Drosophila melanogaster: one gene and its partners. The protein of the gene in region 1 interacts with the protein of each later gene in a pairwise test. Each region holds a gene or a part of one and is shown in the gene's direction. Other genes may lie near its edges.

The links.
Region 2: the proteins of CG6685 (region 1) and Gale interact in a two-hybrid assay, tested with the Drosophila melanogaster proteins (one large-scale study listed by BioGRID).
Region 3: the proteins of CG6685 (region 1) and Usf interact in a two-hybrid assay, tested with the Drosophila melanogaster proteins (one large-scale study listed by BioGRID).
Region 4: the proteins of CG6685 (region 1) and Sap47 interact in a two-hybrid assay, tested with the Drosophila melanogaster proteins (one large-scale study listed by BioGRID).

Annotation. Positions count from the first base shown.
Region 1 is NT_037436.4:9,965,109-9,971,555, reverse strand, and holds CG6685 (uncharacterized protein), read left to right. Parts: upstream 1-3,238; 5' UTR 3,239-3,261; coding exon 3,262-3,451; intron 3,452-3,514; coding exon 3,515-3,722; intron 3,723-3,775; coding exon 3,776-3,869; intron 3,870-3,934; coding exon 3,935-4,084; 3' UTR 4,085-4,953; downstream 4,954-6,447. Other genes in the region: CG6674 (uncharacterized protein), read left to right, coding at 1-346; Dronc (death regulator Nedd2-like caspase), read right to left, coding at 807-1,712, 2,222-2,668.
Region 2 is NT_037436.4:645,328-652,787, forward strand, and holds Gale (UDP-galactose 4'-epimerase), read left to right. Parts: upstream 1-3,227; 5' UTR 3,228-3,724; intron 3,725-3,851; 5' UTR 3,852-3,852; coding exon 3,853-4,092; intron 4,093-4,905; coding exon 4,906-5,196; intron 5,197-5,256; coding exon 5,257-5,778; 3' UTR 5,779-5,984; downstream 5,985-7,460. Other genes in the region: CG3402 (uncharacterized protein), read right to left, coding at 6,761-6,949, 7,117-7,245, 7,384-7,437. UniProt on the Drosophila melanogaster protein: Catalyzes two distinct but analogous reactions: the reversible epimerization of UDP-glucose to UDP-galactose and the reversible epimerization of UDP-N-acetylglucosamine to UDP-N-acetylgalactosamine.
Region 3 is NC_004354.4:4,542,974-4,551,611, reverse strand, and holds Usf (Usf), read left to right. Parts: upstream 1-2,817; 5' UTR 2,818-3,183; coding exon 3,184-4,226; intron 4,227-4,787; coding exon 4,788-5,058; 3' UTR 5,059-6,995; downstream 6,996-8,638. Other genes in the region: CG11436 (uncharacterized protein), read left to right, coding at 1-1,202; CG15912 (uncharacterized protein), read right to left, coding at 1,798-2,538; CG3568 (uncharacterized protein), read right to left, coding at 7,208-7,378, 7,436-8,436, 8,490-8,634.
Region 4 is NT_033777.3:15,933,106-15,940,467, forward strand, and holds the start of Sap47 (Synapse-associated protein 47kD), read left to right. Parts: upstream 1-2,013; 5' UTR 2,014-2,479; exon of another isoform or gene 2,480-2,725; 5' UTR 2,726-3,020; coding exon 3,021-3,235; intron 3,236-7,362. Other genes in the region: CG5478 (uncharacterized protein), read right to left, coding at 1-581; blp (black pearl), read left to right, coding at 1,047-1,209, 1,270-1,532.

The DNA of each region.
Region 1 (6,447 bases):
TTCCGAACAGAGCAACTCCGCCGCCGCCTTGTCCTTCCTGCGACAAATGGATGCACAGCGCGAGGCTGAGGGCGTCGATAACGAATCTCCACCTACAGATGGCAAGATCGAGTTCAAGAGGACCAGCAAACTCAGCCGCAAGCTCAAGAGCCTCAAACAGCAGGAGGTGGATGATGTGGAGCTGGATAAGCCGCAGTTAAGAGGTTCCAAGCTGGTGATGCCTGAGTATGTAATTGGCCAAAAGCCGCATAAGCCAAAGAAATGCAAAACCAAATCGGAACAGAGCCGTGCAGCGGGAAAACTACAACTGTCCCACTTGGCGGAGGAGGATGAGCAGGATGATTAGGTTAAAATGTATGATCCTAAGATTATATTATATAATAATTAGTGTCCCAATGAAATTTTAGAAATGTAAATAGATTTTAATTATATACAAACTGCGGTTTGTTGTGAAATATCATCGTTTATTTTGTAAGTGTACACACTCAAAAATCAGACTGGAAAATTGCTTTACATTTTGCCTAAATGTTCGATTTCAAAAATCTGGCTGTGTATATACTGGAACTCTGTATTATAATATTTGTAGATTTCTGGCAGTTATCACATAAATTACATAATTTCGTACCTTTAAATGAGGTATGCAATACGTATTAGAAGAATACTTGAATGAGTATTTGTTACAATATAAACATTTTATAGCACGCGAGCACAGAACACATAATCTAAAAGACATACTAAATGCGACGATAAGAACATAAATGCGGTTAAAAATGCATCCGGAATGATAAAATGTCCAGTGGCGGCAACTATTCGTTGAAAAACCCGGGATTGAAGTAGAGTTTCTTATTAAAGCCAAGATTATCATAGGCACCTGTCTGCATGGAACCCTTCTTGGTGCGCTTATTACCCACGGCTTCGCTCGTCTTCTTTAGGATATCCTCAAGGTCTGTGTCGTGGGCATGATCGGCCATCACTTGGCAAAACTTCTGGATGTACCAGCTGCCCGTGTCGAGATCGCGGTGGGTAACATAGCCCGGCGTATTAGCATAGCAGACCAGAGTGTCGGCAAGACTTGGCACATTGGTGCTCGGGCTGGGTATGCCCTCCGTCTGGGTGTCAGGCCACTTCTCCTCTTGCGCCGTATACACTGGCTCCATGAGATTGCCTTGATTCTTTGGATGGCCCAAATCATATTCATCGCCGCGGCAAAAGGGAAACATAAGCACCTTCGGCTTGTTCACCAAATAAGGACATTTGGCCGTCTGGAAATGGTCCTTGATCTTCTGCATATCGACCACAGATCCATCGCAAAACTCCACCTTCTCTTTTCCCTCCACACTGTTGCCGTGTGTCATCAGTACCATTACGAAACACTCGGTATTCTGCACATACGACGAGGAGGTCACCATTGTCAGAAGTTTAAAGAACTGATCCTGATTCACGTTCCCATAGGGGAAAATCGTAAAATTCAGTTCTTGAAACAAGTGTATCAACGACTTGCTGTCCTTTTCGGCTCCGATCCGTCGACGGTTTTGATCCGGATAGTCCATTATGTTAACCATTAGCAAAACGCCTCGGTTGAAACGTGATTGCATCTTATATGTGCCCAATATGGCACTATCCCCACCATGTATCTTTTTCGATTTTTTTACCTCGGGACCGTCAACGACACCCACATAAGGGGTGAGTGCTCCCAGCGGCTCATTCCGGAGCTTTGGTAGGAGAGAGAAAGAAAGAACAAATTACAATAAAGATAAGATTTTCAATATATATATTATATTTTCATTGCACGGTTAATGTGGCAGACAAAGAAGTAATCAACATTCGTGCTATATAAACACAGCTGCCAGCAATATTGCGATAAGATTCTGGTTAAAAACAAATCCTACTAAAAGAATAATTGGGATAGGTAAGTAGAATGGATGTGATTCATGCTTCCAAAAAAAATGGAAAACAAGAATCTCATACACGAACTAACTTCTGAAAGAGAAGCAAATAATACTGTGCACATGTACCAAAGTAGTATTCATCATTGAGTCCATTTACAATTCTTAAAGATACCTTTTCTAATCTCATTCCAATAGGAATAACTCAATTAACAAACCTAAAAAAAAAAATGCAAATAAATTGTGCCATAAACCGGTTTTTTGTAGAAATCAGGGTCAATGACCTGAGCTGCAATTTCACCATCAAAGCTTTCGTATGATTTTATTTTCATTACCTTGCTAACGCAGGGTCCTTCGGAGGCTTCGGGTGAGGGTGTGTCCACAATATCGGCCGACTTCCGGCTGGTTCTCCGTTCGTTTAGCGAGATAAAGGGTGGCCTTGAATCGGACTCATCGACGGATTCCAATAGAACGGCCGCATCCAGACAATTGATATTGCGCAGTGCATTGATCAGCAGGTTATAGGCGGTGGGACCACGCTGGGTGATCTTCAATAGGAGCCTACGATGCTGCTCCACACGCACATCCTTCTCGTCCATGTTGAATGGCTTGCCATTGAGATCCTGCGTATTTCTTAGCATCTGAACGGTTAGGATGCCCTGTTGCACGCACTCCATGGCCAGACGCTCGTAGTTCGTCCATTCAACCAGTATATTCAGATTCTTGCGTATATGCTCGCGATGCCTCTTCGGCATTCCAATCTCGAGCTCCGGCGGCTGCATTCCGGATATGGCTTCCACGCGTTCCGGTGACTCCGCTTATTGGGCGCGCCAAGGATGGCTGCCGTGATCAGTCTCCAATTGGCAGTGGTATTGGCAGTGAATCACCCGTCTCCAAGGTTTTCCCGGGAATGATTTCGTTTATCGCTACTTGTCGATTCTTTGTCTCCGCTTTGTTGTTGTCGTCGTTGTTTTTGTTTTGCGACTTTCAAGAAAGGGGCACAAATCGGCGGCCCTGCTGGTGTCCTTATTTTTCCAAAAGTAAATTAACTAGTCTATATATTGCACTAGATGATCCTAGCAAGGATCGGGGATCTTCGAATAGGATTTCTTTCGAAACAAAAGGACCAACGAGCGTTTCGCGCCGCCAAACTCGCCACTAAACTAATAAATGAAACTTTGGGATTGGTGTGGCTGCTTGTGGGTGCGCCATTTTAACCAGAGAACGCGTCCGGGATAAATCCATGACATGAACCGTCTCCATGTTCCACTTATTCCACCATTCCTTCATTGCCGCATCAAATGATTCAATTTAATACTAAATACCAAATACCATATGGGGTCAGCCTAACAAACCGTAAACATAAACAAAAGAAATGGAGGAGGAGCAACAATTTACGCCGGAACCGAAAAACTCCGCGCAAAAAGGCGCAGAAAAGCCTGCAAGGATTCCGAGAGAGGTGAAAGTTAAGCTGCAAAGGCAACTAAACAGACTGGGCTACTCACAGCAAATCCTGCTCGAAGCAGCCAAGCAGCAAAATCAAAATAATTCGAATGGCATTCTCCGTGAGTTTTCTTAAAACATGCATAATGCAATAAAAGTACATTGTCCCCCAATCCCTTTTCTAGAGTATGTGGCCGACATGATTGGCAAGGGCGAGGAAATGGTGAAAAACTGCGACTCCGTTAGCTTAAACAACATTAACCAGTGGCTGGAGCTCATGAAAAGTTCGCAACTCGCTGAACTCTGCGAATTCGAAGCAGCCGTCGTTGTGAACTCCATAATCCAAAATGAGACAAAGCCATCGCCAACGGAACTGAACGGCATTGACTTGAAGTAGGAATGGTTTTGATAAACTACATTTGTATTTAGCATTGTGGTACTTTCAGTGAGGCCTACAAGTTTCTGGAAAACGCTTTGATGGGCCAGCCGCAAAAGAAGATGAGCGATGCGACCAAAGAATTTTTGTCCAAGGAAATTGAGGTGAGCAGAAGGCTGCATCAACTTTCCAAAATAGTTAAAAAAAAAGGAAATCCTAATGCCAACAGCTGCTCATAGAGAAGGCAAACACCGACGAATCCGACGATGTGGCACGCAGCATGGGGCAGCGTTTATTTGACCACCAGTTTTTGGATTACATGGAACAGCGGCAAAAGTGCAGTTTGGATCCACTATTCCTGGACGAGAAGCTAACGTAGAGGCTGTTATTGAGTAATTGAGGAATTTAGCACACAGAGCATTTATTCATTTCCACACATTTATTAAACATTTAAATTCAATTGTTTGTTACATACGTACATTGTCACACGCATTTGCACCGCTCCATTATCATCAATCAAATCATCGGATCCCACGTTTATACATTATTAGTATTACTATGCCAAATGCCCCAACCTTTGTACGTATTAATATTTGATAATTACACTCTTAATTAAGTACTTGACTATAAACAGTTTTAGCACATTTAAAATCTAGAATTCCTTTAGTTGTACACAATTACTTCGAGTAGTGTAAGAAAAAGTTGTGGGTCTTTGGCCTTTGGATTCTCTCAATTGCATAACATTTATTGTGCATGATTGTTTTCAATTGTTGGGGCTGCCAATTAGCATTGCATAGACTAGTGTAGAGATAGGTAGTTTAGTTTTAGGTTTTGCTACGATTAGCTTTGTTTTAAACTTTAAGAGGCATAAAAACAGTTGAGTGCTGCTTGACTCCCATAGCATCACAATAGAATCACAAGAGACAGAGTTGGCTTCATTTCAATTCAATTCATTAGAGGATCTAGGATGGTACACTTACGATAACATAACGTACATACGATCAGAATTACATACAAATTCGAATACAAATATAATACCCTTTTGTTTTAGGCGCAGTTACTAGCACTAAAACGATCTTCACACAATCAAATGCAATTCAATAATGTACATAATATAACTCTTAAATGTTCAGTCCAGTTTGAGCTTTTGGTTTTCCCCTTTTTCTTTGATTTAGATTTTGTTTTTAATTTTTTCATTTTTAAATTTTTTTTTTTGTTTCTTGTGTTTAGGTTTCTGTCTTGTCGCGTAAACATTAATTAAAATTAAGTAAATCTAATTATATATACGTACGATTAAACGCTAGTAAACCATATCGATATGCTTGTCTAAGGTGAAATAAATAAACAACAAATTCGGACCGAACAAAATGCAAAGCAATTTCAGGTGCATGGCAAGGATATGCTGGAGTTTCAGGATCAAATTAGCTGGCATTAACCAAACGCAGATCCAACGAATCGAACAAACACAACGAACGACAACAACGTAACTTAAAATTGCAATTGTTTGTTAGTTGATAGTTGATATAGAATTAGTTTTAGTGTCGCTTGAATTTTGATTGTCCCGTTCCCGTTCGTGTAATTCATACTTTTATTCATATCATTCGAGTATGTGTATATAAAGTAGAGTGGTTTTTAATGTGTCCTAGATAGAGTTCGTCCTGCTGCTGCTGCTGCGTTTTGTATACATATATAAATTCATATTTTTTTTCGGGTTTCACTTCTACTCCGCTAAACATAGCACAACAATAATGATAATAATCGCTTTAATTGCCGTTTACGTAATGAATACATCTATGACACTGGTGAGTCTTCACTATATGTATAAAGTTTCAAGAGTTTACCATTACCAATTACCACACTTTTACGCATATAGCTGCCCAACTATACAAATTGACTATAAATGTGAGACTGAGATTGAGTTTGAGATTGCCTTCGGGTACAGCGGCTTCAGTAATTACTGGCTCTGGTTCTATTTCGGATCGGTGGACCTTGGATTGGATTCGTGTATATTCACCTTAGTAGTAGTTTTGGGTGTTTTTTTGGAGCTATCTATTACGTTTGATCATAGTGTGTATATATTGAATGAATTGAATGATGGGTATAGAATATACATAGATTTATGTGGGATTCATCACTATAAAGCGCAGGCGGGATCACTCGAGGTTCTTGGCCAAAAAATAAACGTTCCTTTCGTATTCGTGGTTATTCATATTGATTACTTTTTTGTTTGTTTTTTTTTTTTTTTTGATTGCGATTGCTGTAAAGCTCTGTGATAAGTTTGGTTTCTATGGTGCTAGGTACGTTGTATGTAGGTACACGATTCTCTCTTAGTTGATTGCATATATTTATCATCGATGTTTGCAAAATAAATAGGCAATATATGTTTGCTTCTGTATCTTTTGCAGTGTGATATGGTTTAAACTATATATATATGATAAACTATGATGATATAGGCGAGTTCAATGACACATAGAGGTATATATTTGACATATTTTTGTATTTTTTTTTTATTTTTTGCCTAGCGTAAACATTCACAATAAATATATATTCGAGAATAGTTAGGATTTCTAGGAATTGATTGCATTCTGCATAGTGTTTCATTGGTTTTTAAATGGTTCGTGTTCTTGTGTTGATTGTGTTGGATTGTGTTTGACACTTTGGTTTTTAGATTAAATTACAATTAATTTGGGTTTTGAATATGTTGTTTTGGTCACATCAAATTTGATTGGCTAACAACATTTA
Region 2 (7,460 bases), 9.3 Mb from region 1:
CCGATCCTGCAGCAACCACCACCGCAGCCCTGCGCACTCCTGGCTCATAGTTTTCCCATTTTCGCAACAATAAACATGCCCCGAGGGGGCAGGCAGCCAACAGACAACTAATTAAATTTTCTATGGTATGAATGCGCTTTTTTCGAATTAACCCCGTTCCAAATAGCGAACCCGAACCCGAACGGATCCGATCCGATCCTCGGGGAGAAGAAGTCCTATTAAGTTGCCATTACCTTCGTGATCCGTGAACCAGGTAGGAAGTAGGGCGATCTATTCATATTCATAAGCCCATTGCCACCGCCATCAATAGCTCGTAAAAGTGTGTGAAACCGGAGGGTGCCCAAAGATCCACGATCCCCGATGCCCGATCCCCGATCCCCGATTCCGTTCAGGGTGGTTGCCCCTGTTTTTTGACTATATCTTAACCCGCCAGAGCCAGGCAGCACACGTGTTCATCATTTGTTGCCTGTTGCTAGGCCGAGATACTCTCTAAATACCCACCCCACGGCCGTGGAAGCCCCTGCCCGTCCCGAACCCCCCCAAACCCCCCGCCAACCCGTAACCCCTCTAAGCCTTTGTGGTAGTTTTGCCAAAAAAAAAAAAGCAACGAAATGAGATCACTGACAACTGGAAACTTGCGTAAAACTCAGCCCAGTCGTGTCGTAGTGGTTGTTGTGCGCATTGTTGCTCTGTAGATAGTTGTTGCTGTTGTAGATGTTATTGTTGTAGTTGAAGTCGTTGTCTTAGTTGTTGTCGTTGTTGCTTCCCAGTGTCTCCTGTTGGTGGGAACTCTTTCCGTAACGCCGCACATGCGCGTGTACTCCACTTACTTAAACGACCGAGAATCGTACTCGTACTCAAATTCAAGCTCAGAATCGGGCTCTTCACTTGATTCACTCTTCATAGATTGTACTTTTGTATTGAAACATGGGTATTACAATTACAGTAGATGAATAGAGAGATATATTTCAACAATACAATATTGGTGGCATTGGTGGTTCTCATGTTATGTGTTCTAATATAGTTTAATTTGTAATGAGGTTACAATACAATATCCTTAAGGTCATAAGCTTAAGTAAAGGTGGGCAGAAAAGTTCAGAAGAGTGGTCCAATTTTTTCGAATTTTTTGAGTCAAAGTAACAAATTTAATAAATGTAATAAATTTATGTATGTAGTCTCGACTTCGGATCGCGCATAGAAAAGTGCGTTTTGAATTTAATTTTCCATATCTTCAATTTAGGAATTGAAAACTTTTAGACGGGCCATGCGGGTTCTGCCAGAAAACGTCACGAAATATGTATAAATTGCTTAATTTGTGATAAGCATTTATGGTGGCCCGGGCGATCCCAGTTTCCAAGTCGGTCTCCGTTGGGCCATGTGAAAAGTGCACCACTTTCACTATTTCCCTACTTCATTTTCCCATTGCCGATCCGAGATCAAATTAAAGTGCCAGAGTCGGTGCTTATCTGGGGTGGTCTCTTTTGAGGGAACGCAGAACATACATAGATGATTATCGGGCACAAACAATAATGCGGAAAATTGGTTTTATTAAGATGGATAACCGAAATTTACAATAAGTGTAAGCAAGGAAATTCTATTCGTTTGGCATTCTATTCGTGGAGTGGAAAGTGTTTGAAATAAAAGATCACATACTAATAAACATATAAGTACAGTAAGTAAACAAGAAGACGGACATAGCTAACGGGCCGGGCCAGACCCCCCGAAAACCTTAGCCCCAGCAATAACAGCAATCCAACTCTCGGACCGAACTGATAATTCCCCCATATGTGCAGGCGGGATTGGATTGGGAGCTCGCTTCTATACATATATATATATATATATTTATGTATGTAGACTAGACCGCAGCACATTATGTACAAATACGTAGCTTTAGGATCGACCACTTCCACTTGGAGACTTGTCCGTTCTGTCTTTCTCTTTCCAATTCTGTTTCAGTTCAGTTTCTGTGGCTGCGACTCTGACTGTGCAAATTATTGTCGCTCACATAAAAAAATATTGCAGGCCAGCGCCATTCAGAGGCGAGCAATGCCGGAAGTTCAACTAACTCATTTCCGGTTGTCAGTATGTACATATGTGTGCCGCCCGAGAATCTCAAAATATATGTAGATGTACGTATGTATGTAGTACATGCGGTGTGCGGTAAGCATGGTCTTGCGGTATATGTATGTACTGCGTCTTCCTTATCGAGTGAGCTTTCCCGCATTCGAGAATCGATTCGTTTCCAGATGATTATGTAGATTATTATGCCGAAGCAGTATTTTACGGTTTGTTCTAATTTTGGGACTCTTATGCCGCAATTTTTTTTAGCGATAAATTGAAATGGAATTCGGAAACCATAATCAGAAAAACGATTTATTGACTGAGATAGAACTATTCAAACAAATAACGATTATCGACACTCCAAAAACCATAAGATAAAGCCGGTCAAATGCCAATCTAGGTTAAAGCTCCGAAGCTTTCGACCCATTCATGCATTCCATTCATTCAGAACCGAAAGCAGGCGCATTTCATTGAGAGACTCGTCGCTGCGCAAATACATTCTCAATTAAGTTGTAAACATTGTGAGATCTTTTTCATTGCGTATTGAGCACATGCACTTCCGCTTATCATTAAAGATTTGAACCGAATTTGGGTCACCAAAAAGCTGTCCGAACTGCGGTTCTAGTTATTTATGACGATGTAGTTGTACGCATTGTACTGAAGTTTGTTGTTATCAAACGTTTGCTTTTCGAGTTTAAAATTAATTTTGAATCTGCTCCGTTTATCAGTCAAGTAAAATGTCAACTTATCTACATGTAAATTTTACAGAAGCACATGGCAGTGATGCCAGATCATATAAGATTATTATCTTGGGGATAGAATGCGTTACAAAATTACATTGCATTATGAATTTGGCGTTATTCTCTTATCATATGTTTAATTAATTACGATTTGTGATTTTATACGCTTTATAATGAAAACTATTTTTTTACCACCCCTATTCGCGTCTCCAGAATGTTTTCACATTTAAACACCGATATGGGCGCACTTCTTGTTTTAAGTTGTTCATATCGATAGACAGCCAAGAAATTTATCGAGACGAATCCCACTGTGCCAGGTAGCTGAAAAATCGGCGAATATGGCAGCGTCGAACGAGCCATGTCGCGTGGCAACGCTACCACTTTGTTTACTTTTATTCGGAGAGCGAAGTGAAGAGCACCTGGAAATTGCATTAATGGGCATGGAATCGGGAGCCAAAGGTCAGCGGCGATAAGGATGCACTTCGAGGTGACCCCGGCCGTCCGTCGACCAAGTCAGCCTGCTGCTAGCACTTGAATTAAAGTGACAGGAGAGCTCCGAGCCCACCAAACCACCGAAACTGATAAGAAGTGCGCGTTCGGAGAACGGAGAACAAGTTAAATAGGCTCCGTGGAGAGCCACCAGTTCAGTTGGCCAGCGACCGCAGATCAAAACAGACGTACGACAACACAGATGAATGAGGAAGAGTGCAAGAAACGGGTTAGCACACGATAGCACTCAACGGTCAGCGATCTTTGGCATCTTCATCTACACCATCATCTGCAATCTCGTCGGAGATCAGAGGCGTTGTTTTTAGGCATCGGAATCCGAGGCGGAATCGTTTCAAGGGCACGTCTCTTGCGTCTAGCTAAACTCAATCTGATTCACTGAGCGGGGATTCTCTACCATAATCACCTGTAAACAGGTGAGTTACCCGTTTTTCGCCAAGCAGACGGCTATTTCGCACGCCTGCCGAACGATTTTGGTGACGTCAATAAGAACTGGGCACTCGTGTGGCCTAATTTCGTGTGTTTTCCCCTTTCGCCACTTAGGATGGCCCCACCCACGGTCCTGGTCACCGGAGGAGCCGGCTACATTGGCTCCCACACGGTTCTGGAGATGCTCAATGCGGGCTACAACGTCATCTGCGTGGACAACCTGTGCAACGCCTACAGCAGCGGGGCCAAACTGCCGGAGGCCCTCAGCCGGGTGCAGGAAATCACCGGCAAGAAGGTCAACTTCTATAGAGTGGACATCACGGACAGGGAGCAGGTGCGCTCCGTCTTCCAGGAGGTGAGCACACGTAGCATTACATAGCTGGCACGTCAGCAGTTCGGAGGTTCTGGGGCAAATGTGCCAACTGGATACCATTCAATCAAGCTTATCTGGCATGCGCGCTATCAGCTTTTTTCTCGTTCGCGCTTGTTTTGTTGTTTGCTCAAGTGGCGGGGCACTTCCGACGAACCGCCGTGCTGATCGACCCTGAATGAAAGACCCACTTGGCGAGGTCGCATTCGAGTTGGTGCGCTGGCATCCACATCCACAACAGCTCCCGGGCACGTACACTACAATCTGGGTGGTCGGGAGCCCAGATTGCAGTGTTTACATCCATTGATAACCAAGAGAATTCGCTAATTCGAGCAGGTTATCACGCATTCTTGAGATGTTCGATCAAAGGGGTTTTTTTTGTTAACCACCGTCGTTTATAAAAAACAAAGCGTTTATTTACATGTAATGAACATTATAAAAATGCACGTTGTTGCCCAAATAGCCATGAAATATCTTAAGCTGATACTTTTTCATATTTTTATTCAACCATAAATGCACACAGCTTTGTGCTTACGCGCACTGATTACTGAATAGATTGAGCAGTATTTGTTGTGGTGGAATTTTTTACCTAATCAGCACTATCAACAGCTATTTAAAGAACACATAATTGTTTGTCAATAAATCACCTTGAAATCAATGTGATACTTTCATTTAATTGCTATTAAATTCTGCACTTTACGTTTATAAGAGGCAATATCCTTGTGCTTACTGAAGAGCTGGTTATTACAGATTTGGATTTCCCAAACTAATAGGTACATATATTTACATCCCTTTCAGCACAAAATCGACATGGTGGCCCACTTTGCCGCCCTGAAGGCCGTGGGTGAGTCCTGCCGCATACCTTTGCAGTACTACCACAACAACATGACCGGCACCAATGTCCTGCTGGAGGCGATGGCCGACAACAATGTCTTCAAGTTCGTGTACAGCTCCAGCGCCACCGTATACGGTGAGCCAAAGTTCCTGCCCGTGACCGAGGAGCATCCCACGGGCAACTGTACATCGCCCTACGGCAAGACTAAATATTTCACCGAGGAGATTCTCAAGGATCTGTGCAAGTCTGACAAGGTAGGAGGATGTCATTTCTTGATGTCCATAAGTTCTGTACTAAAGAATTCGCTCTTTCAGCGTTGGGCAGTGGTTTCGCTGCGGTACTTCAACCCGGTGGGTGCCCACATCAGTGGTCGGATTGGCGAGGATCCGAACGGCGAGCCCAACAACCTGATGCCCTACATCGCACAGGTGGCCGTGGGTCGACGTCCCAGCCTGAGTGTCTACGGCAGCGACTTTCCCACGCACGACGGCACCGGCGTGCGCGATTACATCCACATCGTGGACCTGGCCGAGGGACACGTAAAGGCGTTGGACAAGCTGCGCAACATCGCGGAGACGGGCTTTTTCGCCTACAATTTGGGCACCGGCGTGGGCTACTCGGTGCTGGACATGGTGAAGGCGTTTGAGAAGGCCTCCGGCAAGAAGGTCAACTACACTCTGGTGGACCGACGGTCCGGAGATGTGGCCACTTGCTATGCGGACGCCACGTTGGCGGATAAGAAGCTGGGCTGGAAGGCCGAGCGTGGCATCGACAAGATGTGCGAGGACACGTGGCGCTGGCAGAGCCAGAACCCAAACGGGTATGCCAACAAGTAGAGCTGTATATCGCCACGTTCCTGCCGCTCCGCAAGTTCCTGAGTTACTACGCCTGATAATGGCTCAGGTAGCAATTTCTATTTGCCTCTAGTTGTGTATATTTCTTTCCAAATTTCGTGTAGTATTCGCTCACTTCGATGTGTGCAAGTGTGCGTATGTAATCCAAAGTACTTTGTAATTAAAAAGGCTTTTCGCTGTTGTCATGTAATTTTGTGACCGTCATTTACGCGTTTGGTGACCGCTGGCATCATTGACGCGTGCCAATTGGCGCAATCACGTAATTAAGGTCACCGACAAGGTGGCACTGGGAGATTACACTTGGCATTAGGTAAAATAAACACACAACTGCATCAACCATTTGTCAGATCTTAATCAAAAATGGCATAATCACATTAAGCTGACCAAAGTTACAAGAAGACGTCTAACTCGCACATTTATTTAGCAAACATTTATTCAAATGCAATATAACATTAAAAACTCAATTTTAAACTTAAGTGATGCGCCTTCTTCGCACATATCTGCACAGTTAAAGTCATTTATCACAAGTATGTACTATGAATGTATGTTTCTTTCAACAACTCTGCGTTCGGCTGCTGCTTCTGTTTGGTTTTGGAATGGTCTGCACGTATAAAAGTACAAAATTGTTTATATTCGAGCCTGTTGTTTCTGGGAGTGTTTGTTTGTATCGGTATTTGGCAATCTGTTTTACACTTAGGAGCTTGGCGATTCGTTCAACAAGTGATGGAGAGGCAAAGAAATCGAATTCAACAAGAAGCATTACTAGGTGCTACATTTACGTCTGGCTACATGTGTGTGCGATATGCATACGTAATGAATTAATATGTATAATATGGTAGTTCTAAGTATTCGCATAGGTTGCAGGAGGCAAAGAGATCCGTAGCCCAGAGGGGCGGTGGAGGGGATAGTTTAAATGCCGCTTAAATACTGCTGTAGTCTGTGGAGACCCTGCTCCGAGCACCACTTATGTGGAGGTCACGCCCTTGCGGGCCACCAGCATGTTGAGTATCGGGTTTTTCCGGATGTAGCTCACGGCCTTTTTGTGGGTGACCATGGTGAAGTCGTAGCCGTTGCACTGCAGGATCTTGTCGTGGATCCGCAGACCTGCTCGGGCGGCGGGACTGCCCTCGTGCACCTCGGTCACATAGATGCCCTATTTTCAAAGGGGAAAACGTAACATTGTAACATTGAAACTGCTCTTAAGATACCGAACTAAAACTAAATTCCCCGACTTTCAAGGAGAGCTATAATTATTAGCTTTAAGATTGAAGCTCTCTTTTATGCCCGGAATTAGGTTCTAGTGTTTCCCAAGTTTCTCACATAATCCGTGTATCCCTGAGGGCTTTTCTTGTAGTCCTGGTCGATTCCGCCGCCGATCTTGAAGCCGCACTTGAGGATCTCGCGCCCCTCCTGGTCGTAGTCCTTCTCCTTGTGCAGCGTGATGGGAATCTGGGAATTGTGAGTCACATTTCATCAATCACTCGAATTTGAAAGTGGCTTGTCTTTTTTGCTCCAGCGACCCAATTTCACCTATACACACACAGGCGACTGTGCGTGTGAGCCAGGTTTAGTTCGTTCGCAACTTACGCTCAAGCACTCCATCGCCGTGCCGGCCTGGTGCTGGAATGCCATTTTCGCCATGTCTACCGATGCTTTGACTAACT
Region 3 (8,638 bases), on another chromosome or scaffold:
ATCTGCTGCGCAAGCGGGAACAGATTGTGGAGCACCTACGATTTTCGATGCGTTTCGGTGAGGATCTGGCCGAGCAGGCCAAGTGCGCCATGGACTACTACATGCTGGAGAAGCGAATGTCTTACCTGAAAATTACGCCAGAGCAGTTGAAAAGGATTAATCTTCCGGACCAGAGGCAATTGCACATACAGAAGAGCGCATCCTCGATGGGAATGGAGCCGATATGCAGCGATTACCATCGATTAAGCGTGGGTCCAGCCACCTATGATCATCTGGAGAGTTTTCGGCCCGAGGTCCTGGCCGCTGCCTTTCTGGAGCGCGAGCATGACACCAATGTGGGCATGGCCACCGTGGAATTGACCCGGCGATTTGCGGTGGACGGATTGCAGCATCATCCGGCCTCCTGGAAGTTCCACACCCTAAGCTCGTACTATTGGCGCATGCGAGGAAATGCCCGGGAAGCCCTGCCCTGTGCCAGATTGGCTGCCTTGCTGGCTCCGCCGATCTTTAAGGATATACCCCTGCTGAGTCTGGGTACCATACTCTTTCGAATGGGTCGACTGGCCGATGCCGATCTGATATTGACCGCTGCGGTGGAACATGCTCCTAATGTGGCCGAGAATCATGTGGTCCTGGCCTCTGCACTGGCCATGAAACACGACTTTAATCGATCACTGCAGCACTTCGACGAAGCCGAGCGACTGGATCCCAGCACATTGCCGAGAACACAGCAGGTGCGAAACTTTATAAGTTGCCTAGAGAACCTAACGAAGAAAACCTCCAAGATGTATAGCTATGTGAAGTACATGCAGAACGAGGTGAAGGAGTTCAAGAAGCTGAAGCATCACATCTCTCAGAATCACGAGAGATTGATCCAACAGCAGCTGCCATTGGGAGCGAGACGTCTGCTTGGCCTGGACGCCAAAACCAACAACGATGATCTCCATCGAAGGGGTCAATACTGCAGCACGAGGACGCCGAATGGTTCAGATGAACCGGTGTTGTTTTGTGACTTCTATTCGGACATGCAAATGCGATTGGAGAGCAAGGATGTGGACATTGATGTGCTGGAACGGGATCTAAAGGCCAATACGGATGCGGTCATTCGCCAGGTGTCCACCGAAATCCGGAAACAGTTCAATTTGGAGCAGCTTAAGGCGGCCAAGGCCCAAATGCCTGCGAAGGCGACAAAGGCTACATAGTAATGATTGCCATTACAAACAGATGGACTGGCACATTCCCTTCACAAAGCAACCAAATATTTTTGGTCACAAAATAGCTTGTACGATTAATCTGTTCTTAATTAGTATTTAGGTATGTGTGCAAGAGACGTGTGCGAGTGTGTGTGTGTGTGTGTATAGGATAAGTTTTCAGGTATAGTTTTATCAGGCTTTATACACGGAAATGTTCGAAAGGAGGAGGTTCTTTCGATGCATAATACAGCATCGTTATGTCACTTTAATTAATAATATCTTTTAATGAATATTTAAACAACGACTTTTTCACATTCGATAAGAAATAAGCTTTGAATTGTATTCAACTAAGAACTCTTTTGTTTATTTCTGTTTTCAGACAGCTTATTTTTATATTTGTTATATTATGTTTTATATTTGTCCAAAACCTCCTACCTCGAATTTCCCAAAAAAATATCATTAAGATCGCGTATTTATATTTACCACTAGTTTTACATTCAGTTATGTTATCTTAATGCAAAAAAAAAAGGAAATCTACAAAAATAACAACAGCCATTATCCAATCGAAGAACTGCAGGTTCCCGAGAGGAGTTTCTTTGGTGGATTACCATCGGATTGGTTGGGTTTTTAAGGCCTCCAACAGACTGGAAAGACTGGCAAAAGAATGGGGATTGTCAGCGTTGCTCACAAGCAAACCGCTCCAGCCGCAATTCCGGGCACCTTCATAGTCCATATCCAACTTGTTGCCAATGTGAAGGGCCTGCTCCGCTGGAATTTGCAATCTCTGCAGCGGAATTTCGAAGATACCGCGTTCGGGCTTCATAACACCGGCTTCGTAGGAAGTCAGAATGAAATCGAATTTGCCGGCAAAGCCCATGGCGTCCAGGACTTGTGGCAGTGACGAATCGAAATTGGAGATGATGCCCACACATTTGCCGGCATTTCGGACGTTCTGCACCAACTCCTGGGCACCATTCACGTGACTCCAACAGGCGCTGGTCCGAAAAACGGAAATTAGCCGCTGGCCGATCTTCTCCAGCTTCTCGGGCGCCAGACCGTGGTCCACGCAGCTAAAGGTTCGAGCCACCAGCTGAAGCCACCAACGCTGCCAATCCAATCCCGGCGAGTAACGGCCAAAGTTTGGATGTTCGCTGCTCATCGCCTTGAATTGCTGGCGAAAGCATTGTTCCAATCGGCGGCGATCCACTCCGGTGACCCCGAACTCCTCTGCCGTCTGATGGTACTGGCGAAGGGGATCCTCCAGGCGAAGCAGCGTGTCCGTTACATCGAAGGTCACCAGGCGAAAGCGTTTCAAATTCGCAACAAATTGCGAAGTCAACGACATTTTGGCCAACAGTGTGGTATTGTTTGTCCACTAGATATTACGTATATGCATTTGGTATATTTTAATTTTCGAAAAACCTCCAAAAACACATTTGCTTAGTTGAGAATCGTTTATTGAATTAAATGAAGATGCTTTTCTTCATTTTAAAGTTACAGATTTTCTACTTGTATGAAGAGTTTATTTTTTTTTTTGAATACAAACAATTATTTGGAAATGCCGCAAAAATACATTGCCTAAATTCTGGTATTTTTCGCAACAACTGTACTGTGTGTATTTGTCGGCATATATTTGCTGCCCGCCGGCGGGCACACTAAGCCAAACGAAAATAATTTTGTTACAAAAAAAATCAACAAATCGTATTGTTAAATGGCCGTGCGAACACGAACGACCATAAATCCGCCGCAGCGCTCGATTTCAAATCAAATCCTCGAGGCAGTCGGTAGTTAATAATACCGCAGAGCGGCCAGATCGGGGGATATCTACCATCCATATCCGTGTATCCTCCAACTAGAGATCGGAGCAAATAGTGGAGGAGATCCCGAATAGATCCGGAGTTACGTGATTCCCGGCGACACGGATACGATTCTGGCTGGGATTGGGCTATTGGAATTGGTGTACTGCTAACGGCGGATCATCGATGCAACAATGAATGTTCACAAGCGGCCACGTCTGAATATGGAATTCGGCTCCTCCACCAGCAATACCAACACTTCCACATCCCCGTCCTCCGTAAATATCAGCAATGCGAATCCAACAGCTGGACCTGGCCTCATGACCATTACCAATCACCACACCGCTGATTTGTCAGAGGCCCTGGTCCACAGTTCCTTTGCCAATGGTCAGCAAAGTCTGATTCTCACCAGCGACACGGGAAATCCGCTGATGAATAGCCAAGGTGCTCAGATATTTCTCACCATTTGCGGAGACGAGAACTCGGACGATTCGCAGGAGTACTATACGATTAAACAGGAACCGGGATGTGATCTAGATATCCATTCGCTGCTGCCTAGCAATTTGCAGCTGCCCAACAATCTGCAGCTGCCCACTGGCTGTGAGATATATTTGGTCAAGGAAACCGGCAGCTTAATGGGTGAGCCGCCGACGAAGGCGGCCATCAAGCTGGAACTAGATACGCTAAGCGAAAAGCCGCTCCTTCCATCTGTTACAACTTCCTCCAGCACACAGTCCGCGGTAATAACCGCCCAGACCGTGAATCCTCCCATTCCAGGTAACATCAACACCACCACCAGCACCACTAGCACCACCACCACCACCAGTGTCCTGTATGGCTCCCATGGCAATGGTCATGGCCATGGCCATGCTCACGCCCAAGCCCGATCCCAGCCAGAATCAGCTGGCCAAACACCATCCAGCAAACTGGAGGCGTACAAGAAACGCGATGATAAACGTCGTGCCACGCACAACGAGGTCGAACGCCGGCGCCGCGACAAGATCAACAGCTGGATCTTCAAGCTCAAGGAGATGCTGCCCAGTCTGAGCTCCAGCTCCAGTTTCAGCGAGGCCAGCACGAGTCCCAGCACCAGCGGAAGTACGAGTACCAACGGAAGTAGCCATTCCAAAGGCAATGCCAGCAGTTCCAGCGGACGAGCGCCGCCCAATGACTCCAAATCGCAGATCCTGATCAAGGCATGCGAGTACATCAAGAGCATGCAGGGCGAGATTGACACGTGAGTGGAGACGGGTTTGTAGGGGGGAAACCACTGAATCAGAAATCCACAAATATTGTCCGCTATAAGTTGCTGTACTACAGTTATATATACAGCTATATAACTTTTTTGACTTGTTAATGGTCTTAAAAAATGAGTTTGCTTATAGATCTTAATCAACTCCATTCGCTCAATTGAGCTTACATCATGTATCGATCGCATACGGTTAGGAATAAAGTTACCCAAAGGGCGGACACTTGATCTTTCCCACTTTTTCCGTAGAAATGCGTACTTAAAGTGCTGATATAGGGCTGGTGTTATCTTTTTGCAAAACAAAATCCCCATTTTGGAGCGGTTCTTTTTCGCCACTATCTCGTGCAATATGAGCTGGACTCTCGAATGTCCCTGTGTCACTCAAGTCTTGAACACAACACTCTCTCACACTGATCGAATGCGGTTTCCACCCAAACAAAACCCAACAAAATCATACAAAGCCAATCAAACACCTGATCCACCGATTCACCGATCACCAAACATAAACAAACCAATTACTCAACTTTGTCTATCCCCACCAATAAACAGGCTGCGCGACTGTCTAAGGGAGACGGATAGCCTAAGGGCCAGCAACCAGGCGCTGCGCGAGGAACTTGATCGCCTGAAGCGTCAGCAGCAGCTCCAGGAACGCTTCCACACGGCCGGCGGAAGATCGACGTTTAATGTTACCCTAAATTCGCTGAACAGTTCCGCGACCAGTGATCTATTCGAGGGAATCGATACGACACCCAATCTGGCCGCCGTCTCGTCGCTGGGATTCGGCAAGCGTGGCCTGCTGATCAGCGATTTTGATGAGTAAACAAAATCTGCCTGCGAAATAGGAGTGGATAGACAAAAAAAAAAAAAAAAAAAATAGAAATGAAAAACATATGGGTGGACCGATTGGGTTGCTGGTTACGGGAATAAACAAATATGGAGGCGGCGGATGGACAAGCCCTGGCGCCTTCAACAAACATATACGCCCATCCACCAAAGAATGACGTGCAACGTACACGCAACGCAACACACGCAGTACAATAAACGGACATGACGAGTGATTCCTTGTTATCGCCGCTCTGTTATATGTTATATAAGAAAAGCAGCATATATTACATATGTGTATCGATATGTGTATATGGTTATGTATATGGCTATGTATATGCATGTACATATATGCAGTCGAACTTGGGTGACTCAAGCCAAGTTGTTGGCCTAACCGCTTTGACAAAAAGCTGTTCTCAATTGAGTTTAATTAACGAGCCACGGCACAACACAGCTGCTTTTGTATGTTATATGTATCTGTTATTGGTATTATTCCTAACCAACCCCCCCCTCCAAAAAGTGAGCGCCCAAAAAGAAAAAAAACAAATCATGAAAATAACGATCGAACGAATTTTTGTACCACCCCCATGCCGCGATCATTATCATATTTTGTTTAGAGTCTTGGAATATTAGATCACAAACAAATATTGTTGATAAGAAGCTTTAAAGCACGTTCTGTTCTTCCATGTTTTTTTTTTTCGTATTACATTATGTTTAAGATATACGTAGGTATAGTTGTTTTGATTTGCGCAGCGAATCTAGAACTATAACTTAGCCATGTTTCAAACAAACTCTTTGTGTTCATTCAAGAGAATTCACTATGTATTCACTTTCAACAAGAGATTGTTGTATTTAAATCGAAATATGTTTTTCAAAAATATCAATATTGAAATATTAGCAAAGTACAGCGCAAGATAAGTATAAGTATAAGTAATTTCTTGCTGAAAGTGAAAGTGGAAACTGAAGTGGTTAACAAAGTTTTCGATTTGTTGTTATACAGGAAATTAGTTGTAAGTCTGAAGTTTGAGTAACAAAAGTTCGATTGCACAGATGTGAAATGATTTATGTTCTCGGATCCTCAAGCGGTTTGCCATCATTATATACAAACGTACATACATACCTATGAATTACCCAGAAATACAAGCCTAGAAAAAATCTAAAAGCGTTAACGATACCTACCTATTGCATATATACCTTTAACTAAATCATATTTGGAGCATGTTTGTGCTTGATTTTTCGATTTTATTGTACTGTTTCTCGGCACTAATTACCTACAAAAAAAAAAAAAATGTAACGAAAATATACTATATCTAGTTATATCGTATATATATTATATATATATATAAATATATATGGTCTATATATATATATAGAGAGAGAGAGAGAGAAAGAGCGAGAGGCAAGTGTACATACGTAGTGCAGTCGGTAGAACAGTGGGAATTCGAGCGAGATGCGGCTATATAATGCCGCACTGCTCGCCGGGGGCGTGTGCACCGTTACAGATAAAATGCTATTGTTGATAAAGAATAATATTATATTATATTATATTTGAGCATAATGTTGTTGTGAATGTTATATCACTGTTTTCGATATACGACGCTGTTTCAGAAGTATAAGTATACAGAACAGAAGTGTTTTAAATACGATTCATTTGTAATAATGAAAATGCCAAAAAAAAAAGCAAAAAAAAAAAAAAAGAAATCAAACACACCAACCACACCAAAATACAAACACACTAAGATTCAGGATTTTAAGATATAAGATGGGGTACTGGGAATTGGATTATTTAACCCATGGCCGAAAACGAAATGGGATCTTGTGTTACTTGTTGCTATCTATATGCAGTACATTACAATAATATCACATTTCTGTCATTTGACAGCTAATAATTCTATTCAATTTCAATAAACGAACTCAGTAATGGTTAACACACACAATCAATTTCTCATTCAATGGAATTGTTGGCATGCGGGCATTGATTCTTTAGAAGAATATGGTGGTTTGTTCGCACAGCTGGCTTTCCATGATTCCATAAGTTCATATGTTCATATGTACATATGTACATATGTACATATGTATCAGCAAAAAAGCTGATCTCTTTATTGTAATATATTTTAAGGATTACATAGTGCTTAGATACATTGTGTTTACACAATCAGTCGCCTAGCGTAGTCGCCTACATGGAGTAGTCCGTGTTCCACTGATGCAATGTGCAGATTGGCTCCGTTCATATAGTGCACATTAATGTGGGGATTTTGGAGTTCAGAGATTAAAGTGGAACAGGCTGCTGCTGGATCCCCAGTGCTGATTAGCATATTCTGTAGGGAAATAAGCATTACAAATTGTAAACCTTAGTAGAGTCACTTCTTGCATACCGCCCAAAATTCGTTGCCAGGCAGGGCATTTCCATCCCAGGCGTATGTCACCACGGGCAACATGTCCTCCGTTAGTTTGTCTCCGGGATTTCGGACCGAATTGCGAATGCGAATGCCACCCTGGGGATGTTTGTCCACGGGAATGATGGCTCCGTCATGCAAGCTGCCCACACATGCCAAATGAAACCATGAGAAGTGTACCACTCCGATGTGGCTTAGTCGTTCTCCAAGTGCCCGCAATCGTCCCTCAAAAGATTCAAGGAAGGTGCGCTCCTGCTGTCTAGCTGCCTTCCAAACGCCCAGTCCGATGCCGACCACATGGATATAGGCGGGCTTACCAGCCTTAAATGCTCTGTCCTGTGCCTCCAAGAGCAGGGTGTCGAAACTGATGGCATATCGCTTGCGCATTACCTGGTGATCGAAGATGCCCTGAGAAACCTCTTCGAAACGCGTAGTATCATACGGAGTGTCGGCGTAAATGAAGTCCCTGGGCTCCTCGTAGAACTCGCGCCAGATTCTGCGCAAATCTGATGCAGGTGTGACCGTCTCGCTGGATATCTGTTCCAAATCGAAACCGTAGCCATTGGCCTCAGTATTTTGGGTTTTAGTAATCATGATATCCTGGTACTCCATCACATCGGGACGCTCGAAACGAGCTCCAATTAGTCCAATCACAACGCCCTCCCGTTCGATAGTGTCCTTATTCTGCAGCACCTCACCCCCATTGACCCTACTGCCATTGTTAATGAACTCCGAGTGGCAGGACACGTAGAGCAGGGCGGACAGCTTGATCTCGTCGTAGCTGAGCACCGAGGTCAAAGTGAGGGGTTCCTTTTCGGCGGGCGTACCCACTGCCTCGAAGCCCTCGTTACCAATATTTCCCTGCATTGTACGGTAATAGTCGTTAGCGCCAAAGAACCACACACATCTCTTCGCCAGCAGGCGCTGCACAAGGTCAACCACAGTCATGTCCTTGTAGATGGCCTTCTCCTGCTCGCTGCCTGTAAAACGATGACCAGAAAATATAAATTCTTTCGATTGTGATTGTACCCACCGAACGTGAGCTTGTGCTCTAAGAAGCTGATAAAGAGTAGGAGGGTCCGTTCGTGAATCACCGGATAGGCGGATGCGATTTGTTCCCGTATGCGGTCACTTCGATCTTCCGGCTGTGCCTTCACTCGGCAGGAATCGATGCCAAACTAA
Region 4 (7,362 bases), on another chromosome or scaffold:
TTGGTGCAGTGCCCCCGCTCCAAATAGTTAATAGTGGCGATCAGGGAATGTATATCAGCGATGACGGACGAGGTCTGCTCGTGGATTTTTAGCAGAGCCTTCAGATTGGCATATATCCTGGCCAGCCGTTTGTCCACGGGGGATTGATTATTAGGATCACAGTTCTTTTTCTGATGCGGAACTGAGTACTTGATGAACTGGCGTTCGTTGCCCTTCGGTGGTTCAGGAGTCTCCTTGCACGGCTTGGGCACCAACCGCTCCGACACCTCCATCAGTCGCACCTGCTCATCCAAACTGCTCAAGGGCAGCTTTCGCATTATGCGGCGCAGCTGCTTGCGCTTTTTGGGCGTGAGCAGGTGGTGGTGCTTCTGAAAGCGCTCCACTCCGCGGTGCAAGTTCTCCATCATCTTTACCCAAACGTCCATGCTCCTGCTCTCCGCCTCGATTTCATTCTGGAGTCGTACGCGCTTTGAGCGAAAATGCCGTATTTGTCGTTGTAGCGACTTCGTCTGATTCTGATCATTCAAATGCTCGCGGACCAGACGGTCGTAGTCCTTTTTCCAGTTCGGTTCCTGAATCATTGGCTTAACTAGGGAATTTCGAATTTTTAAAAACGATAACTGACAAATGCTATCGATGACAAAGTAGTCGTGGTAAAAATATTTAAATAATTGGTTTTAAAAATATTTCGATTCTCGATGATATAGCTATTATATATATCGATAGCTAATTATGAAAGCCGTGTACCATCTCCAATCAGCTGTTTCACCTGCTTTTCGCCGCCTGCTCGTTAGTAAATATCTGGAGTAAAAGCTAAAATTTACCTGGTAGCTCAATACAATTATAAATCACATTCGAAATTAAGTGTTAAAAGTTACGTATGCATTTTTTTAGAAGGACGCCTTTTAAATAGTACAATTGGAACACGGAGGGTCACTACGGTGTTGCGTAATTAAAGCGACACGTTTTCTGAGACCCAAAATTAAGCTGTACACATAGAATGCCGGTGTTTTGACGTACGAATCCAAGGAATACAAGAAACCGTCATGGCCAAGTATATCGCCCAGATCATCGTGTTGGGCGCCCAGGCAGTGGGAAGAGCCTTTACCAAGGCGCTGCGCCAGGAGATCGCCGCATCTCAGGAAGCAGCACGACGGGCGGGTGGTGGCAAGCAGGGCGACAAGAGCGCCGAGTCCAACCTGCGCACAGGTGAGTCTTGGACACAGTCATGCTATCTATTTCACTATTTACACCTACTTATCAATGCAGGCATGACGCTGGAGGAAGCCAAGCAGATCCTGAATATAGATGACCCCAAAAACGTGGACGCTATCACCAAGAACTACGAGCATCTGTTTCAAGTCAACGAACGCTCCAAAGGCGGCTCCTTCTATATCCAGTCAAAGGTTTTCCGGGCGAAAGAGCGGCTGGACCATGAGATTAAGGCCCATGAGCAGCCGAGGTCGTCAAATACGGAAGCAGCGCAAGATACGGCGGAGGAGTCTCAGAGCAGATCGCGGCAGCGACGCTGAGTATCCTTGTTGTCCCAATCGAACTAATTAGCTGATAATTGATTTAAAAACTACGTGTTAAGTACAAAAAATGAAAGTCTGTTGCTGTAAATAGAGATTTACGAACATGAAGACAAGTGTAAACACTTTCTGAGAAGAGCTCGACTTTCCAGGAACACAAATGTAATGGAATTCTTGTAAACTAACACGGATTAGCTCAGGCGGTTAGGTATAAATATTTTACTCTCAGGCCAGGTAACTAGAATCGGATCGATTTTAAGATCACGCTTCTTGGGGTTTGAAAATAAAAATATTTTAAGTATCAACAAAGTTCCATGTCTTGATCTAGCTATAGCTAAAATTATGCTGATGTAAATAAACTAATGCTGCAATGGGCTTCCAAACTTTCGCAATAGGAACTTGGAAATTTTAAAATCAGCTGTTGCAGAAGCCAGAGATGCGCGAACATATCGGTAGAGCTATCGACCGACAGCAGTCAGCTGTTCGATGGGCAGCACTGGCCGAGAACAAACCGAAAATAATCATTACTGGTGCGCAGTTGTTGTTTCCATAGACGTGTCAATTGTTTGTCTAATTGCGCCAGCAGCAGCAAAACGACGCCAAAGCACACATGCGCATTCCAGCGCACAAATATCCCACCCACGAAAATCGCAATACCATCGCCCCAGCAACGCGGAGGAGGGGGTGGACTCCACTTTTCCAGGGAGAAAGCGAACGTACGCATACGAGAATCCGAATCTGAGAATCCCCAATCCCCGAGTCCAAGAGAGCGAAGACGACACTCCAGCTCGGTATTTGAGACATCGACATTCCGCTGCTCCGTCAGTTTTCAGAGGACCTTCGAAGTGGGCAGCCGAAAATCCAAAAGTCTCCTGGCAGCGAACGGAAAACCAAAGAGAAAAAAAATAAGAAAAGCAAAATCCAGTTGGCAGAGAAAAGCTCAAGTGGTAATTGGCTGCGACTCAAATTACTTTAGTTGTGCAAATAGCGAATAGCTATAAACCCAAAAAGAAAAGAAACTCGAGCGTGGCGTGTGTCCATGTGGAAAATCGATCGAATCGCAGAGTATTTATCGTGTAATTGTGCCCAATAGCCACGCAATTCCCAGTCCGTTTTATTGATTTTCCCCACCGCCTCGCCAAGTAGCAATAAAAACCATTCTTTTACCTTCCATCTCGGCCATCTGGACAAAGCAATTGCAGCGTGAAAAATTCAAATTTCAAGTTAAATGCGAGAATTTACATAACGCCGAGCGTTGAAAGTGAAACTTCTGTGGTGCGAACGAAACACTGAAAGAAAGGAAAACCCATTACAGGACATTCTATCTGCCTCTGCCCAGTGTAGTAAAAGTTGGAGAGCCAGGAGCGGGAGAGCAGTGGAAAACCGTGAGAACCGCGAGAACAAGAGAGCCTAGAGAGCGTTGAACGTGCGCACGTCTTCCTGGTCAGGACACACCACCAATCCTTGAGAGAAACAGCAGGAGCCAACATGTTTTCGGGCCTAACAAATCAATTCACCTCGCTGGTGGGCGCCGTTAAAGGAGGCGCTGGCGACGAGGATGTGCCCGCGCCCACAGGAGATGCGCCCGCAGCCGCTCCAGCAGCATCCACATCCGTGGAGGCCACGGCCTCCTCCGCCGTGGACCCGGAGGCAGCTGCCGCAGCCGGTGGCGAAGGACTCGAGGGCGAGGAAGCTGGCAAAAGGTAAGTGTGAATCGAACAATGCGCGCTGGGTAATCCTTCGGCCCATCTTTCTAGTCTTCCGTGACTGTGACTCCGAAATCCAGACTTCAGTCGACCTGACATGGCGTGCCAATGTGACCTTGCTATTTGTACCTTTTAACATTTCGCTCCGTGGAGTTCCTACCCTCCAGCAATCGCTCCTTTACGGTACATTCATCATTGTTTTGACACACTCCGCTTATCCTGCATTTTACGTTGCATTCCGCACGCTCTCACGTGACTGAACATAATTGCTTAAACTGGAATCCAAATGCCCGATAATTTCACTCCCATATATATCCTATATGGCTCCGCTTCCTTGCGAAGCTAGTCGACTGACTTTCCTGAACATTTCTGGCTAGCAATTTCGATTTGAAAATGCCAGGCCAATTTGTGGTTTAAATGGATTTCGTTTGATTATTCTTGAAATGGCAAATCGCATTGTGAAGACTGTATTTCTTTTTAATTGTTGAAATATTTGAATCGTTATAGAATATAGCATAAATCAGTCTTCAAAAGAGTCTCTCAGCTTGGCATATATGTATTACTTAGTATGGTAGACTGTCAGTAGTGTAATTCTCCAAGCGAATTTATTTGCCCTAATTTTGTTGACCAAAGGAAATTCCTTGAACTGTCAGCAAACGGAAAAGAGCAACTCCATGCTTACTAACTTCCGACTGGTTTCTTTTCTTTTACTTCCCTCAAACTGAGTGGATAGGACTGCCCTATTTCTTTTCGACCTCGCCGTATCATTTGACCTCGTCCTTCGCGCTTCTTCTGGGTACTTCATCAATCTCTAGCAGGCATTCCACACCCTAGTTATGTTGAGTTTGCTTTATCCCACAAGAGTGTTACTGCCGTTTCAGCCTTCATTTCCTCGAAATAAATGAAAGTAAATTCCAATTATTCGGCTGATATTTTGGACAAGTTAAGACCGCTGTGATGGCCCGTTAATGCCACAAGTTGCTGGCTAATCCGGAAGATCAGCCAAAGTCAACTAACGTTGTTTTTCACTTAATTCAGCTCATTAATATTTAATTGTGCGAGTGTGCGCTGGATGCCAGGATGTCAATCCGGGGCACGTTTTTCCAACCAGCTGCCAACAGCTGGTGTCGTCGTGGTCGTCGTCGTCGTTGTTGTCTTTGAAACCCAAGTCCGTGATGTGTCACGCCTTTTCAACGGGCCGCCGTTCTCCTTCTGCCCCGCAAGTCCTTTCACTATCAATTGACATTGACGAGTTGGACCACCTTCGTGTTGTTCTTTGTATCTCGTCTTTATTTTACTCTTTTTGTTTTCTGTACGTTCCAATGAAAATAATTTGCACGTGGCTCCTGCATAACCACAAAATGTTGAGTCATTCGAGCTGGCGGCGCCCTCGTCCGCTTTCACCACTCGTACACTCTGGTTTTTTGACCATCTTGCTGTGTGCGAAATACTGTCACCAATGCCGATGGGTAGAGGTGGAGCATTCGGAAGGGGGCTGGCTCGGAGGCAGGATGTGTTCCTTTTGGTGGTTGCTTTCCAGTTTCCAGTTGACTTTTGCTCGTTTTGCGGATCGATACGAGAGAGCCGTGCGAAAGGACGCTCTATGCTTCTCTCTGCGAAATGTGCACATGTGATGAGGCCACAACGAGTAGAAACGACGATGGCGCCCGCTCTAGAGGATTTGCTACTCCACGACCCGACCCGCCCCCTTGTTGTCCTTTTGTCAGCCTATTTAATAATTGTGCATTCAGAAAACGTGTGTGCTGGCTTGTTGCCTGTCTTTACGCCTGTGCCTGTGCCCCTGCCACTGTCCTTTTCATTTCCTCGCTCGCCAATCAGCGTCAAATCTCTATAATTTTCAATGAATTAATTTATTCAATTTTCGCTGTCATGCATATTGAGTTGCTCACGAAGGCAATGGGGTTTGGTGATTTAGCCCAAAAATCGGTCAATATTCGATTAAGGGCTGCCCAAAAAAGTAGGCTATGCCGGAGAAATAAGCGAATGCATCTCCACCCATTAGTTAAGCCCCTCAAATCCCCACCTGTACATGCGTTTCCTCGCTCCTTTTCTGATTTTTTCTCTGCCTTCGCCAGGGCCAAAGTTGTTGGCGCTTTCAAGGACATTTACACTATTTGCACTTGCTCTCTGCGAATGTGTCTGTATGCGTGTGCCCTTGCCTTTGTTGCTAAAATTATGCCAAAATAAAATGAAAACAAATACGAAGGGAGGCGTATGAGTACGAGTAACTAACTATTTCATCTTGCGCCCAAATTGCTTGGCAAACAAGCTGGACAAAGTAAAAGTACGCAATGCATTCCTAACGCCGCTTGACACAATTTACTCACCAACAATAACAGCTAACTCTTGATTGCTAGCCAGTTGGGTCATTCGGGTCATCATTAGGCACACAAACAAAAGTTAAGAATTAAATATTTGCACATGTCGCATGGTCTTGGCCTGATTGAAATATGCCCTCTATATGCAAATAGGTATTACGAGTTCTATTCAAAATATATAATATAAATATTACATTTGAGCCAGGGTCCAACGAGCAGTGGAAATCAAAGTCCGGCCGAGATTTTCCTTTTTTTCCGCTCACCTGGAGACGGCAAACATAATAAAATCAAAGCAATGGCCTCAAAATAAATAAATAAATGCGAGACTGGCGAAATGGAAAACCCACAGAAATTTATCGAGCGACATTTGGCCTCCTGAACCGAACTGAACCGAACTGAATACACACATTTCCCAAGGATATAAAAATATAAATAAGAGAAACGAGACGGTCGGCGGGAATCCAATTGAAATGCTGCCAAGCCGAATGCAAAAAAAAACCCCACAGGCTACTTAAATTTAAAGGCGGTATTAAAATTTCATGTCAAGGCAAGAGACCGCCGGACATATCGCCATTTGCCAGGACATGGCGTGGGTGCTAACGACGCCCTGTGTCCGAGCGCTCGCCATTTGACATTTGCCAGCCAAATTAACGCCCTGGCCTGGCACCAAAAGCAGCCAAACAATCCCTGTGGTCAGCAGCTACTCCTCCTCCTTCTCCACTCGCTGCAATTTCAGTTCGTTTCGGCAGGACCTTAATTGCCGCCTGCGCCGTGGGTGGTGGGTCCTGTCCTGAAACTATTTGTTCTGTGTATTTTTTCAGCTGTCGCATTTAATTCAATTTATACGACGCTCGAATCTTTACTGTTGCGGCATTGTGTGCTTATTGTTTGCACCACGAATTAATATTTATCGCCCTGGGCATTTGTTTCGTGCTAAATCATTCGGCCCATATAAATAGTAATTTTTATGCAAATTAAGTGTTTGTCACACGAGTTTTTCACTGCCTAATTGCTGGCCAGGGAGTTTCCCACGCCCACTCAAAGAAAAGGGCCGATTTAGAATGCGTGTCGCACGGTAGTTTTTTCACATTTTGTTTGTTTTTTAATTCCCAGAAAGATTTATAATTCATTCGGTAACCCTTTTCTATTTTTAGTGATTTTTGATTTAAACACATGTTACTCGGAATCTAAATTCCATTTTTTGTGCCACCTATTTTATTTATGAAAATTCTATTTAATGGCTTGGTATTTCTGCCTAGTTGCTAAGTTTTCATGTACATAATTGGCTGCCCAGTACGGCTCCACTGCTAATCAGAGGCCATCAAAGTGTCCAATCAGCTTAACACCGATTTTTATAGATCCACCTTTTGACCCCGACACGTTGGCGCTGTCCGTGCCACTTCTGCCACACCAATTGGCGGTCAATTATGCCAAAAAGCAATGTGGGCCAAAGGTCTTGCCAAACGGATTTTTATGGTCCTGCACGCAGGAGCACCGAAACCGAAATACCGAAAAAATAAAATAAAATTTAATGCTCCTCGTAAAGTGACCCCCTAAGTTGGCCAAGGTGCAAACGACGCAGATGCTCGGCGTGGTCCGATTTAAAGCGCAATGAAATCAGGACACGGCAGGAACATATGGAAATATAGGAAACCGGGTGGGAAACATATGTTAGCAGTTGGACTTTTGCTCCAATAAAGATAAATGGAATGTCCGCAGGATGGGAAAGTGCACGACCGGAAGTCAACTAAAGCGAGTCGAGGCAAGGCAGCCGGAAGGCCAGTC